Linked DNA regions of Tamandua tetradactyla. The main gene of each other region encodes a partner of the protein of the gene in region 2 in a complex. Links are inferred from orthologs where the notes say so. Each region holds a gene or a part of one and is shown on either strand. Other genes may lie near its edges.

Region 1 (7,346 bases), on a different chromosome or scaffold from region 2:
TAACAGTTTCCTTTAAGAGTGGTATGTGATAATTAAATAAAGTTGCTACTGAAGCCCTACCTCTTAACCTTTCATCTCAAGACCTGTATCTGAGTACCTTGTTTATTAACCTGATAACTCTCTCACCACAGCTTATCTTTCAGTTGATACAGTAATCTCGATTCTTCTGAGTTATCAGCCACATTTGAGAAAGCACTAAGCACTTTCTAAGCCAATGTGGAAGTATTTTGCTATTTCAACATTCCCAAGAGATCTTGGATTAAGTACTATAGATATGACAAGGCTGCCTACAGTGATTTCATCTGTGGGACTCATTTATCCAAATGCAGAAAACTTCTTCATAATTGTATAGACAATGTAAATTCTGGCAAATAAACCACCATTACAAATTAAAAAAAAAGAATGAAGCTGATCAGGTCAGGATTAAGGTAACTCAGAACACAGGGGTAAGGAAGACATTGTCTATATTTTAGAACCTCACCTCTTTGAGACCAAAGGAAGAAAGGCTTATTTTGTCCAGAATCTAAATTTTCTGTAGCACATAATCTAACTCACTCTGTCTGAATACCTCATTTAAACAACTGAAACAAACACAGGGAGCCCAGAATAAGAATGAGGGCCTTTAATCCTGTATAGCTTAATGTAATGCCTGGATACATCCTAGAATATACTAAGCAGATAATCAAAAAGTATTGGCAAAGTCCCTTAAGGGACCAGAGAAAAATATGGAACTATTAAACTTTGCCACCAGGGAAATCCCTGACACAGTGTGAAACTTTAGGGACACCCAAATCAATACACCAAACCCTTGATCTTGAGGTTTACTCTTCTGAAGCTTATGTATGTAGTGGAGAAACTTAGCCTACCTACAAGTATGCTTAAGAGTTGCTTCTGGAGGACCTCTTTTGTTGCTCAGAGATGGCCTCACTCTCTCTAAGCCCAACTCTGCAAGCGAAATCATTGCCCCCCCCCCACCACGTGGGACATGACATCCAGGGGTGAAAGGCTCCCTGGTGACATGGGGAGATGATTCCCAGGGATGAGTCCAGCTCTGGCACTGTGGGATCAACAATGCCATCCTGACCAGAAGGGGGAAAAGAAGTATAACAAATAAGGAATCAGTGGCTGAAGTTCAAATAGAGTTGAGATGCTACTCAGGAGGTCACTCTTCAGAAGCTTCAGTTAGACATTGCTACCTCTCATAACTTGCCAAACCCCAACCAAAACCATTCTAGTCAATCCTAAAGAATACTTAGGGCAATATATGAGTCTATAAAGATTCCAAGCACTAGGGTAACTTTCTAGAAACCTACAATCTCCAGATGGGTACCTGGACCAGATAAGTCCTGAAACCTAGAGGGACTTCAAAACATCAGCTAGTTCCATCTCCCTATTGTGTATTATTGATAGCCCCTTCCAAAATGAAAAAGTTAGAATGGCCATAGCCCAAATACCCCTAAAGAAAGGGATAGAAAGATCAAAGGTGATGGTAGAGTTACACAGAGAAGGAAGGGTTTAACAAACAAGTATGACTGGTGAATCATTATATTAATATTTTAGAGAAGCTAGAAGTAAAAACCTAAAATTGTGGAATTGTAACCCATACCAAACTCTAAAATCTGTTCTACAACTAATTGTGGCGCTATGCTTTGAAATTTATTGCTTTTTTGTATATATGTTATTTTTCACACACACAAAAAAGTTGATTGTGATAAAAATTATTTCCTTCTAGTCTCCAATGTCCTGGAGAAGCTAGAAGGAAAAACCTGAGACGATGATATAGCAGCCCATGCCAAACTCCAGGATCTGTCCTGTAACTACTTATTGAAAAGTGCTTTGAAAATTATTGGGTTTTTCTTTCTTTGCTTTGTATATATGTTGTATTATACTATAAAAAAGTTTAAAAAAAAACAAAAACATATTGGCAATTCTTGAACAGAAGGGGGAAGAGAGAAATGAGACAAAATAAAGTTCAGTGGCTGAGAGATTTCAAAACAAATTTAAAAGTATTGGCAAAGTTCCTTGAGGGATGGGAGAAAAAATACAGAACTACTAAACTTTACCACCAAGTAAACCCCAGATACTGTGTCAAACATTAGGGACACCCAAATCAATAGACCAAGTCCTCGATCTTGAGGCTTGCTCTTGTGAAGCTTATGTCTGTAGCGGAGAAGCTATGTCTACCTATAATTATGCCTAAGGGTTGCTTCCAGAGAACCTCTTTTGTTGCTCAGATATGGCCTCTCTCCGTAAGCCTAACTCTGCAAGGAAAATCATTACCCTCCCTTCTTTGTGGGACATGACATCCAGTGGTGTGAGTCTCGCTGGTAATGTGGGATATGACTCCAAGGATGAGCCTGGTCCTGGCACCGTGGGATCAACAGTGCCTACCTGACCAAAGAGGGAGGAAAGAAATATAACAAAATAAGGTATCAGTGGCTAAGAGATTTCAAATAGAGTTGAGAGGCTATTCTGAAGGTTACTGTTTTGCAAGCTTCAGAGAGAGACTGCTAATTGCTATACTGTACTAAACCCCAAGCAACAGCATTCCTGTAAACCCCAAAGAGTACCTCTAGCTTTGAGACGCAATAAAAATTTCCCTCACTAAGTTTGTTTTTCAGAAACCTAAAACCTCCAGATGATTACTAGGCCAGATAAGCACAGAAGCCCAGAGTTACTAGTCTAAGAGCAGAAACCAGTTGTATCCCCCTGCCCCATAATGCTGACACACCTCTTTTCAAGATGAAGAAGTTAAAACGGTCCTTGTCCAAATATCCCTAAAGACTGGGAGAAAGATCAAAGAAGTTGTAACAGAGAAGACAGGATTTAACAAATGAATATGACTACTGAATCATTATATTGTTATATCTTTTTTAATCTCCATTGTCCTAAAGCAGCTAGAAGGAAATACCTGAGATTGTGGAACTGTAACCCATACCATACTATGAAATTCGTTCTACAACTGTTTGTTAAACTATACTTTGACATCTATTGCTTTTTTGTCTATTTGTTATATTTCACAATAAAAAATGTTAAAAAAAGATACCCATGAAATAATTTTTGACTACTTACTTGATATTTACTGTTCTGAAGACTTACAATTTAAAACAAAGATCAAGACTATTACATTCTTAAATAGTGATTAAGGTATCACCCACATCTTAGGATCAATTTAATAGAATTACTGTAAAGAAGCATTCTTATAAATTCATTAGGTAGGGATTTGAAAGTCAGTTGAAAATCTTCATCAGAGCTGAGAGTATTGTACAGGCCTTCCTGAGATTCTTCATCAAAGCTAAACGAAGTGTACTGGACAGGTCTATCTGGGGCAGGATGACTTCAGCCCTGAAGGAAGCCTATCAGAGCCAAAAGACTATCTACTTTATGGTAAAAGAACTAATAGAAGGATTCTTCTGAATTTAATATGTTTTGAAAGGTGGAAAAAAGCAATCTAGGAGAACAGTTACAGAGAACTAAACTGGAAAACATAGTGGAAATTACCGCAAAATCTTCAAAACTTCTTGCATGGCTTAGCCACTGTGGAAACCATCCATCCAGCTGGGTTTGAGGATTTTAAATGTTCTATTTTTTTGTCCCCGTAAGTATACTCATGTTTGTGAGATCGTGTGCCTTTATTTTTATTATGAAAATAGGGATGCTGTATATCTGCCTGTGCTTAAAGCTGTGAAACACAACTGGCACAAAGGCCAAAGAAGCGACCGACAGCAAAGGTATTAAGTATGTATTTCGAAATATGCATAATTCACTGTAGGTTGCTGGCACACCTTATATGTGCTCTGTAGGCCAGCGGCGCCGAGAGAGCTATCATTTTATTAACCTCTCCCGCTCGTGGGCGCTGTTCAGTCCCTGTTAACATCCAAGTCTGCCCTTTGCTCTTGAGGCCCGGACGGCAACGGTGCAGGCACCTGGAAATAGGTTACAGGAAAAACACATCTAAAAATAATAAGCGACTTCTCAGGAGATTGTCCAAACTGTAAGTGAGGGCTATTTCTGAATGCAAAAGTAGAATTTTGGCATTTTTAAAAGCCTAGTTTCACCAAAGTGAGAAGTCCTGGAATAAGGTACGTAAATTTAACGGCCCGGGCTGCTCTAGACGTGATATGGGATGCAAGGACTGTTCAGGCCGGCCTGCCCTAAAGGGGCCCCCAGTTTGGCCTCCGTACGGTCCGGCGGCGCCGGGAAGTAAGCTAGTGACCAGCCGCGGGGAGAGAGGCCTGAGCTGCCGCCGCATCCCTAACATCTCGGCCACGTCCGGCCTCAGGCGGCCGTCCGGCATCCGGGCAGGAAGTTCCTGCCCGGGTCGGCGCGTTACCTGCAGGAGGTGCAGTTGAGCCACGAGGCACCGAGGCAGGTGGAGGAAACAGTCGCGGGCGTTGGTGAAGATCACCTTCACGGCCGCTCCGCCTCCACCAGCGCCTGCCAAGCGATAGCTGCCCCACATCGCGAGCTAGCGCAGAAGCCGAGTAACCCACCCTTGCGCCGCGGCCGACTGGGACCAGGGCAGGCTGAGGGCGTCGGACCCAGAGAAGATCGATCGGCCCGCCCCCGCGGCCCCGCCCCCTTTCTCCCGGCGAGTCTGACCCGGAGTCCTTTAGGGGAGGCAAGAAAGCCTTCACTCACTTTCCCGGCCTCTCCTCCGCGCCGCTGGGGGCGGTACCTCGTTCACAGAACCACAGCTCACAGGAAACGATGGCCGACGCTGTCGATTCTCCAGCCAATCTCTGCGCGCCGTGAGCCCTCTGCTCTCTCATTGGATAAACAGTAGCGCAGCAAAGCGGATGTTGTCCTCTCTCCCAGGGCCAAAGCTGTCAAGATGGCGTTGAGTAGTGGGGAACTAGGGGGCTCGTTCGACCACCACGTGCAGAGAGCGGTGTGCGACTCGCGGGCAAAGTATCGGGACGGTAGACGGCCTCGCGCTGTCAAGGTAAAGTGATATGGGTTCCATTAGCCAAACTCGGTAGCTTTAAGTGAGCATTCACTCCAGATTTTTAAGTAAGGACAAGGCTATTGTCATATTCATCTCTCATAGGATATGGGCGTTAGAACCGAGGGGCAGGCAGGCCCCACAGATTTTCCCGAGCATCAGGTCTGTGAGAGCAGGGCTGTGTTAGTTTGCAAGCTGCGGGAAGTGATATACCAGAAATGGCACGGCTCACAGGAACGCCTTTGTCGGCTGAGAAGTCACGTAGCTGGCATTTGCTGGTCCCTAGCTCCTGGGCCCGGTTGCTTTTATTCTCTGTTCCTATCCGGATTGCTCACTTTGCTTTTCCAGGGCTGACTTTCATCTCTTGGCTTCTCTTGAGTCTCACCAGGTTCTGTTTTGCTTGACTCTCATGGCCATATCTGCTGTGCCCCATGCTTCTCCAGACATCCGAGTCTCTGTTTTCCAAACTTTGGTTTCTGTGCCAGCTCTACTCTGAAGTTTTGTTGGCCCTGTCGTTTCACCGAAGTGTTTCCCCCTTTTAAAAACTCTAGTAATCTTATCAGGACCCTCCTGGAATGGGTGGAGTCACATCTCCATGTACGCAAAGGTCACGCCCACAATCCGGCGTGTCACATCCCCGTGGAAATAATCTCATCATGTTTCTAACCTACAGTGCTGAATAGGGATGAAAAGAAACACCTGCTCCCACAAAATTAGATCAGGATTAAAAGATGGCTTTTCTGGGGTACATAATATTTTCAAATTGGCACAAGGGCTTTGCTTTATTCTTTGTATTTTACATTCTTATAACTGCTTTGCACAAGGTAAGTAAGTACTCAGTAAATATTTGTTGAGTGAATGTTCCCAATAACATGATCCGTTTTAACGATTCAGTGTCTGGAAAAAGTCTACTGAAGGTGGTCTGGTATATATTTTAATTAGAGGCCTTCCCATGTGGAACTAGTTATTCTTTATGCAGAAAGAGTGGCAACTTTTAAAATTTTGTGTATTGTCTGCAAATTGGGTTGAACAGTTTTATTTTCAAAGCCTATTCTTACAAATAAGGGTAAATTTACCCTAGGCTTATTTGTGAAATTCATTTAATGACTGCATTTCTTTTAGGTATATACAATCAACTTGGAATCTCGGTACTTAATAATACAAGGAGTTCCTGCAGTGGGAGCAATGAATGAATTAGTTGAACGATTTGCTTTATATGGTGCGATTGAGCAATATAATGCTCTAGATGAATACCCAGCAGAAGAATTTACAGAAGTTTATCTTATTAAATATCTGAATTTACAAAGTGCAAGGTAATATGCAAGTTAAATAGTGTTTCATTTCCTCCATCCCCATTGCTATCAAACTGGTCCCAGGCATTCCTGAATTACCCAGTAATCTAACATAGCCCTGTATGGCTCTTATTTTCCTCCAGCATTTTTAAAGATGAGCCTTACCAAAACACTGTTCCCATCATGTCACTCCTATGCTTAAATTAACAACTATCTGTTAGGTGTAGTAGATGAAAAATTGGGTTTGGGGTAAGTTTTCCATTTCCACTGCTTTCTAGCTTCATAACCTTGGGCAAATTATTTAACCTTTTAAAAGTTGTTTTTTTCTCCTTCTGTAAGACCCATCTGGTAAAAGGACCTCCTTTTGAGGTTGTATGAGGATTGAAATGAGGTAGTCCATGTAAGGGTTTCACATAGTATTTTCCATTCAGAATGCAATAAACATTAGCTCTTGAGGTTCTTATTTTTATAGTCCTAAATGAATTTTCACCATTTATGCAGCCTGCCATATTATATAAACCCTCATTTCAATAAGATTAAAGTATAAAATGCCTCATCCATTTTTTGTTAATTCCTAATTTTGCCACTAATCTGCTCCAAAAGCCATCTTTGTCTGGTTATTACAATTCATATTTTCTTGTCTGTGTTACCAGTAGCACTCATTGTCTGCACAAAAGCATGTGATTTTATGGAGTCATGTGTTGCTCTTATATGTAATCTCACTTCCCCAGTCAGCTTTCCAGTTCCCAGTGGTTATGGAAACATATTTTCTAAAGCTTTTGCATTTGAATTCTAGCTCCACCAAAACTAGTTGTGTGACCTTGGCCAAGTTATATAATCTCCCTGTGCCTCAGTTTCATTATGAGGTCGTGTGAAGTGTTAATTCATGTAAAGCAATTAGGACATGGCATATGATAAATATAATATTTCTTATTATACATAGGCACAGAAGAAGTATTTATTTATTGTAGTAGAGCCTGGTCAGATATAGATGTTCAATAAATATTTCTTGAATGAATACCATCCTCCTTGTTTTCTCATTGATTGGTTGCTTTATATTCAGTATTTCTTAAATTATTGCAAGTTTTACAATGATAATATTTTAATTA
Region 2 (7,766 bases):
GCCTCCCAGGAATGAAAGGGTCAGTTATATGATTTAGGAAAATTATTTCAATAGGAATAAGCAGATGGACTATAAGAGAAAAGAAATGACCTATAATACAGTTTAAAGGAGTGAAAAGAAATTAGATTAGTGTAATTCAGAATTTTTATATTACTAAGATGTTATCGTCATGTGTTGTAAGAATTTGATTGACTTTGACATGCTAAACTAAAATGTTAATTTGGCTATAGAACATTCACTTTCTTACTCCACAGATTTCACTGGAGAGAAAAAAATTGTCTTTATGTGCAAATCACATCAGTAGAACATTGCCAATTGTGCCAGGTCTTTTTGTGGTATAGGCTCTTTGTGGAAAATGGCAAATCATTGACATGAATGCCATAAATAATTTCAACAACTGCTGTAAGTGGAAACAGCAGAATTTAACGTTTTCCCCTTTCCCTAATTCAGAACATAAAAATTCCAGCATTGCTTTAAAACAGGGGCTGCAAACTGAAATGCCTTCAGGAGTCTGGTAGATAGCTATGACGGCAACTTAGTTCAACGTACACTACCTAAGTGCCTGGCCTGCTCTTAACACCTCATATGCACTAATTCACTTAATTCTAATAATAAATCTTAAAGTCAGGGACTGTTATCTCCATTTTACATATGGTGAAATTCAGGCACAGATAGGTTATATAACCTCCCCAAGATTACCATATATAAATGGTGGTGCAGGCAGATTGGTTCCAGCGCTCATGATTTAACTACTATATACAAATTCACTACCAAGGTAACACAAATGAGTGAGGAAGGTCAAAGACGAGTTCGTGCTGTGGCAAACTGAACAATGGCAAGTCCAGCCAAAAGGGGCCTGTCATCTCTCATCAGTTACTGCAGTGTCAGAATGTGGGTATAGTATTGTCAGAATCTTTACTTTTTCAAAGGTGAGCAAAAGTCTAGATTTGTGTGTGAAATCCTGCCCTCCGACCTCCACCACATACTTTAAAAATATTTCTTGCCAGTGTTTCTGAAATCCGTTGAACCAAATCTAAGATATCTAAAAAGTTCAACCCTGGCCAGAGGCTTCAAGGCTTACTTCAACATGGCTTGTTTATCTACATATAAATTGAGTAAGCTTATATATAATGCTATGGAAAAATAGGCTGAATCAGGTGAGCATAAAACCAAGGACACCGATTTTGATGTGTGGTTTGTGAAAAGTAGCCTCATTATTTGACAGTCAGTGCTTGTAATAATCACTAGCCGGAGCATCCTGAGAAATACCATGCTAAATCTATACCAGCATTATAACTAAAAATAAAATAATATATGTTCTCAATGATCACTTCAGAAGGTTTCTGATAGACCCCTATTTTCCTTTAATACACTATATGGATCGATCATGCAAGAAATTATCTTAATTTTTTCTATACCTGTATTTTCAAATGGCACTTCCATTGTACTTTTACAATGCTGTCACGCGCATTATCTCAATTTTTGCTGGGTTTAAACAGTTTATGTCTTGCCATCTAGCTTAATGGCACAATTTAAGATTATTACACTTGGAAGCATTATTTTAAATTGAGAAGAAGGTTAACAGGTCTATAACCTTGGTCTAAGTGTAAGGGATTTCAATAAGGGTGTTGAAAAAAAATCACTTTTGTCCCCTGTCTTAACCAGTGCATTTTCATTACTAGACTTAATTTTTATGAGGCCACATACTGTAACATTGTGTCTTTCTGAGTGCCAATAGCATGTAGTTCAGTTCATGAAATCAATGGTGACATCAGGCCAACTTTAGATACAACTGTGGCCACAGACTGTAACATTGTATCTTTCTGAGTGCCAACAGCATGCAGCTCAACTAGTGAAATCAGTGGTGACATCAGCCAACTTTAGATATAACTGTGTCAATCTTTAACAACTGTCTTCCCATGGATCAACAGGGCTGATGTGGCTTATGAAGATGTCTGAGCAATCAGCTGTGCAGCCTTTCTTTCTCTCCTGGTCTCTTAAATAGTGATCTTCCCCAGGCTTCAGTCACAGGCTTACCTTTCACACTCTACACATTTCTCCTGAGCAGACTTCTACTCTCATGGCCTTAACACCTATTTAATACAGACATTTGGGTGGCACTGAATGACACCAAAATCATTGCCTCTTACCTCAGCTTCTTTGCTAACCTAAAATTTATATCACTAAATGACTGCTGGATACTCCCATTATCAACACGCCCCAAACTGAAGTTATAATCCTCCCCCTTAAAACCTGCTCCTTCTCCAATGTTGCCTACATCAGTAAATGGCCCTGCCCAAATGTCTAACAGTGATTTCTAGATAAATCACACTTCCTAGTGACGCTGCCTCCAAAAACGTATCTCCAATCTGTCTGCTTCTCTCCACTCCTATTGACACCATACTTCAGTGAGGAGTCATTGCAATTCACCAGAATTATTCCTAACTGGTGAATGCCTCAAACTATCTCCCCTCTATTGTGCAGCCAAAATGATCCCTTCAAATCATGAATCTGTTTAAAAACACATAAATGATCTCCAAACACCCTTAGGATAAAGTCTAAACTCCTTGTCATGGCTTACAAATTTGTTCAAGAGCTGGAAGTCACCTTTTAAGTTAATATAGCATGGCAAATGGATAAGAGCATGGGGTCTAAAGAAGCCAATCTGATCTAGCTCCATCCAGCTGTCTCACAACAGGCAAATCACTTGACTTCTTTGTCCCTCAATTTCATCCTCTGTAAAAACGGGATAACAGTATGTATCTCATAGTGCGGTTGTGAATGTTAAATGAGAAAAAATAACAAACCACTTGACACAGTGTCTGGAACACTATCTGACACATAGTAAATGGTCAGCAAATAATAGCTATTGTTATTATCTTTCTAGCTCATTTCTCACTTCTCTCCCATTTGTCCTTAGAGTTCCATCCATAGCGCCCAGTGAACCTCTTTCATCCTTCTTCTCACTGGTCCATTACATAAAGTCCCTTTGATTGCATGTTTCCCTCCATCCCCCTCTTCAGCAACTCTCTGGACTCCTCTGGGAAAGTCATCTGTGCAACTCCTAGATGCTCCCTAAGGTTCTGTACTTGTCTTACTTTCTAGTACTATTTTTTCTCTCCCTGTTAAACTGTAGGTTTTGTGTAAAAGGGTCCATGTCTTTCTTGCTTACCACTGAAATGGTTTTGTACCCCAGGAAACCCATGTTCTTCTTTCTAATTCAATCTTGTGGGGGCAGACCTATTGTTTGGGTGGGATCTTTTTGATTAAGTTGTTTCCAAGGAGATGCATCTCTGCCCACTCAAGGTAGGTCTTACTGGGCTTACTGGGGTCCTTTTAAGAGGGAGCCATTTTGGGAAAAGCTTAGAGCCGACACAGACAGAGACATCTGGAGATGCAGGAAGAAAACGCCCCAGGGAAGCAGTTTGAAAACAGAAGCCAAAGGACCAGCAGACACCAAGCATATGCTTTCCCAGCTGACAGAGGTCTTCCAGGCCTATCTTGAGTCAGGGTATCTTTCTTTGGATGCCTTAGTTTGTAAATTTTTAATGGCCTTAGACCTCTAAACTTGTAACTCAATAAATCCCCTTTATAAAAACCAATCCATTTTTGGTGTATTGCATTCTGGCAGTATTAGCAAACTAAAACACCGTTTTATCCCCAATGCCCACCACAGTGCCTGACACCTGACAGGCAGTAAAGCTGTCAGTGTATGAATGTGTGCATTTTTCCTCTCTCACAGCTCAGTATGTGTTCCTCTCAAAGCCGCAAGCCAGCAGAAAAGCACAGCTGTACCGTAACAGCTGTCCGCAGAACACACTTCAGGACAAGGCTGCCACAGGACAAACGCTTCTGAACCACAGCACTTCTCAGAATCCTATGCTCAAGTGCATTGTTAACCTCCAAGCGGGGGGCAGAGGGCGTGTATTTCTGCATACATCTCCTGCACTGAACGCTGTGGCACAGGCCAGTCTCAGGAGATGCTCACCCCCGCTGGACGTCTAAGGCAGACAGCAGCTGTGGGCGGGGAAGGCTCCGAAGCACTCGGACTGCAGGGTTCACGGGTGGCAATGAGCACCCTTTACACACAGAACCTGACACGGGGAAGAAACCGACAGGATTCACCCAAGCGCCTCCTCTGACCCAACGAGGCCCAGAAGAGCAAAGGGAACGGTCTGCGGCCACAGGCAAGCGGAAGCGCTGGAGGGGGAGCCCCGGGCGCCCGCAGGGCCCGACCCCACGCCCGCCACCACGCCCGGGACCCGCGGGGTCGCCACGCGCGCCCATTCGAATGGCATCTCTAAGCCACCCCGAAGCGACGGCCGAGGCCTGCCACCCCTTCGGGCCTCCACGGGCTGCCCTTCCTCCTCCTTTCCCCCCCAGCGTTTCTGCGGGGAAGACGCCTGTCCGCGGCGGGGAGACGGCTTCCGCCCGCTCTCAGCGTGGGGCTGGGAGCCGGCACTTGCTGCCCCCGAGCCCCGCAACCCAGCGGCGGCGCGGCGCCTCCGCCCGAAGGCGCCCGGCATCGTCCTCTCCCATCCCAACCGCCCCCTCCCCGCTCCCGCTCCCGTCCGAGCCCGGCAGGCCGTCCTCACCTGGGATTGCCATGGTGCTGGCAACAGGGGGTCAAGGGTGCGCGCGTCCCGCCGGCGCGGGGACAACGCCCGGCCGAAGCGGCCTCGCCCTCGCCGCAGCGCCGCCGAAGCTCCGCGAGAGGCCCGGAAGGGCCGCTAAGCCCCTGGCGACGGCGGAACCAAGGCGTCGCCGCTGTGGTTTCCGGGCGAGTCACGGTGCAGCGAACATTTGGCCTGAACCATTACAGCCAACTCCTGAGGGGTGCGTGTGTGTGACCGACACAGGTGTGTGGCGAAAGTGAACACCACGAAGACTCAAGATGGTTCTTTAACTTTTTAAATACGAATAACTTTACGCTATAGACGCTGAAGACTCTTTTCTCCTTCCCTGGAGGATATCGGAATCCCCCTTATCGGGGTTAGCGGTGTTCGGGTCCGGGAGCAACATGGCGGCATGCGTGAGCGGCTAGGTTGGCGGGCCCAGGGCGCGGCGTCGCTGTCTTTCAGGGCCTCGGCTTACTGGAGCTCTCCGCGACCGCCTCCTCCAGGGAGCGTGAACTCCTCCGCGGTAGCGTTCGTTGACCGGAGTTTTGCGGACTTCGAAGTAGAGCCCTGAGCACCGACAAGGATGAGCAACATCTACATCCAGGAGCCTCCCACGAACGGGAAGGTGAGCGCCTCACCTGGGGCCTCTGGGCTCCCGGAAGCGAGCCCTCTCCCACTAGGAGGGCTCTGAGGTGTTCGGGATGGAAGAGGCCACAGGGAGTGTCGTCGTCCCCCTGTCTCGGGACGAGGCGTCGAAAGCCGTACTGAACACTCATAGCATGGATTGGAAAACCAAGAGCTTGGGTGGAGAGTTCCTCCATTGCCCTCGCCGCGGGGCCTTCTGCCCCCGACCCAACTCGTGCAGGCGTTTACGAGGGTCTTAGGGTTTTAGAAGCAAAATATGAAATTTAACATATTATTTTCTTGGCTTGGAGAGCTCTCCTTTTCGCATCCGTTCTGCAATCATTTGTTGAGTTCTTGCTGTGCACGGGTGCTGTGCTAGGCGCTGGGGATGCAGAGATGGGTAGGCCTAGTTACTGCCCTGGAAGAGCGCATAGTTAAGTTTACAAGACAAGCCCTAAAGAAAAAGCTTCCATATACGTCTAGTAGGCATCCTTGTGGAAACAGAATCATTGTTCTATGGCAGTACTGAGGAGTGAGCCGCTGGAAAAGTTAGGAAAAGCTTCTTGGAGCTGAAATTAAAACACGAGATAATTGCCAGTCAGAGAAAGTGGAGAATGGGGAGTGTTCCCATATTTGAATGGGAGGTTAGGGTCCTGATCGATTTGGTGGTCAAGGTACGTCAATTCCCATCCACGGTGTTTGTATGCAGTATGAGGCAGAGAAGTTAACGATGGGATTAGTGTCATTTGCATTCTTGAACTGAGACCTAGTCTATATCATATGTGAAATATTATGAAGAAAATAGTGGGACTTAAAGTATGTGGTTTGATTAGGGTAAACGAAATTTGCCTACAGTACAGTTCTGTTGCATGACTGTATCATAAATTACTTATGCAATCTTCTATTGATGGTCATTTGGTAATATAATGAGAGCAATTTGTAAACGTACAAAAAGTTTCTGTAATGAAATATCCTTGGCAAATATTTTAAGGGGAATTATGGGCAGAATTAATTCTTTGTTGTTTGACCTTCTCCTGGGCACTCCAGATTAGCATTCTCCCTTTCCCCCATGTCATTGTCAAAACCCCAAATAACTATCCCCTCGTTTTTCCAAATGTTTCTTGGGGATGATATTACCCCCAGGTGATAAAACCTGGCAGAAGATTGAATAAATTACCCATCTTGCCAGGCAGAGGCTTCACACTTGCTCTTCTCCTTGGTTTGTTCTTCTGCCTGCTCAAATGTCATCCTAAAAAAGAGGCCTTTCCTATTTGCCCTCCGTGATGGTTGGTTCATGTGTCAGCTTGGCCAGAGGGTGGTGTCCGGCTATTTGGTTAAGCAAGCACCATCCTGATGGTTCCTGTGAGGCCGTTTTGTGGACGTAAATCATCAGTAAATTGATTGCATCTATGGCTGATGACATCTACAGTCAACTGAGGAGATGGCCTTCACACTGAGAGATATATCATCCAATCAGTTCAAGACTTTAAAAGATGACGTGATGACTTCAGCAGTCAGAAGAATTTCTATCTCCACTTCAGCCAGCCGAGTAGAATTCCAAGGTTCCCCCAGAGAATTCATCAAAAACCTTCCCCAGATTTCCTGGCTTGTGACCTGCCCTTTGGAATTTGGACTTATGCATCCCCACAGTTGTATAAGACAATTTTTATAAAAATCTCATAGTATATATCTCAACAGATACGTCCTTTTGGTTCTGTTTCCCTACAGAACCCTGACAAAGACACCTTCTATGACATAGCATATAGTAGTCATGCCCTGCATCCCTGCATTCCCTGGCCCCCTGAACCTATTTTTCTGTAGTACTTATTTTCTTGTTTATCGTGCATCCCCTTCCCTCAGAGAATGCAAGTTCTCTGAGAGCAGAGATTTTGCTTTGTTCACTGTACTTAGAACAGTGCTTGATGCATAGTAGGAGTTCAAATATGTATTGCATAAATGAATGAATGTTATTTCTCTTAGCTTCTGAGAAGTATTAAGCGTCGGTGGGTTTAAGTAGACTGTGACTGGTTAAGTGCAGGCTGACTTGCTTTTTTGAGGAAGACTTAGCATGGTCATATAGATGAAAAGCTTAACAAGGTTACATGCCTAAATAGAAAACCATTTATTCATCAACAAATATTTTTTGAGCACCGAACACATACCAGGCTCTATGCAAGGTTTTAGGGATACAACAGAAAGAAAAAACAGCATTGTCCCTGTCATCATGGAGTTACCTTGGTGACATATGTGTTGACCAAATAATCATGCAAATAAACACGTAATTGCATACTGTGGTGAATAATGTTAATCTTTTGGACAGTAGTGGACTGAGGGAGAACCTCAGGCAGGGCCCAAGTTTTGTCCAAAAACAATTTGGGAACTTTAACAACATAAGGATTATTGAAGAGATTGAAGCCCTGAAGTTCTATACTGTAGGAAGTGTGGCAACTAAAGTGTACTGTAGAGAGTGTGGCAAGAATTTTGGTCTTGCAGGAATTTAAAGCACCTGTAATGACAAGTCTG

Evidence for each region. The genes of interacting proteins can lie anywhere in the genome.
Region 1: CWC27 (region 2) and RBM48 share a complex: the UniProt entries of both Homo sapiens proteins name them as parts of the minor spliceosome. The link is inferred for Tamandua tetradactyla from reciprocal best matches to the Homo sapiens genes CWC27 and RBM48.

Annotation. Positions count from the first base shown.
Region 1 is NC_135327.1:123,744,637-123,751,982, reverse strand, and holds the start of RBM48 (RNA-binding protein 48), read left to right. Parts: upstream 1-4,462; 5' UTR 4,463-4,834; coding exon 4,835-4,945; intron 4,946-6,067; coding exon 6,068-6,258; intron 6,259-7,346. Other genes in the region: peroxisomal ATPase PEX1, read right to left, coding at 4,334-4,462. UniProt on the Homo sapiens protein: As a component of the minor spliceosome, involved in the splicing of U12-type introns in pre-mRNAs.
Region 2 is NC_135335.1:112,329,034-112,336,799, forward strand, and holds the start of CWC27 (spliceosome-associated protein CWC27 homolog), read left to right. Parts: upstream 1-4,762; 5' UTR 4,763-5,202; coding exon 5,203-5,244; intron 5,245-7,766. Other genes in the region: protein SREK1IP1, read right to left, coding at 4,596-4,608. UniProt on the Homo sapiens protein: As part of the spliceosome, plays a role in pre-mRNA splicing. Probable inactive PPIase with no peptidyl-prolyl cis-trans isomerase activity. As a component of the minor spliceosome, involved in the splicing of U12-type introns in pre-mRNAs.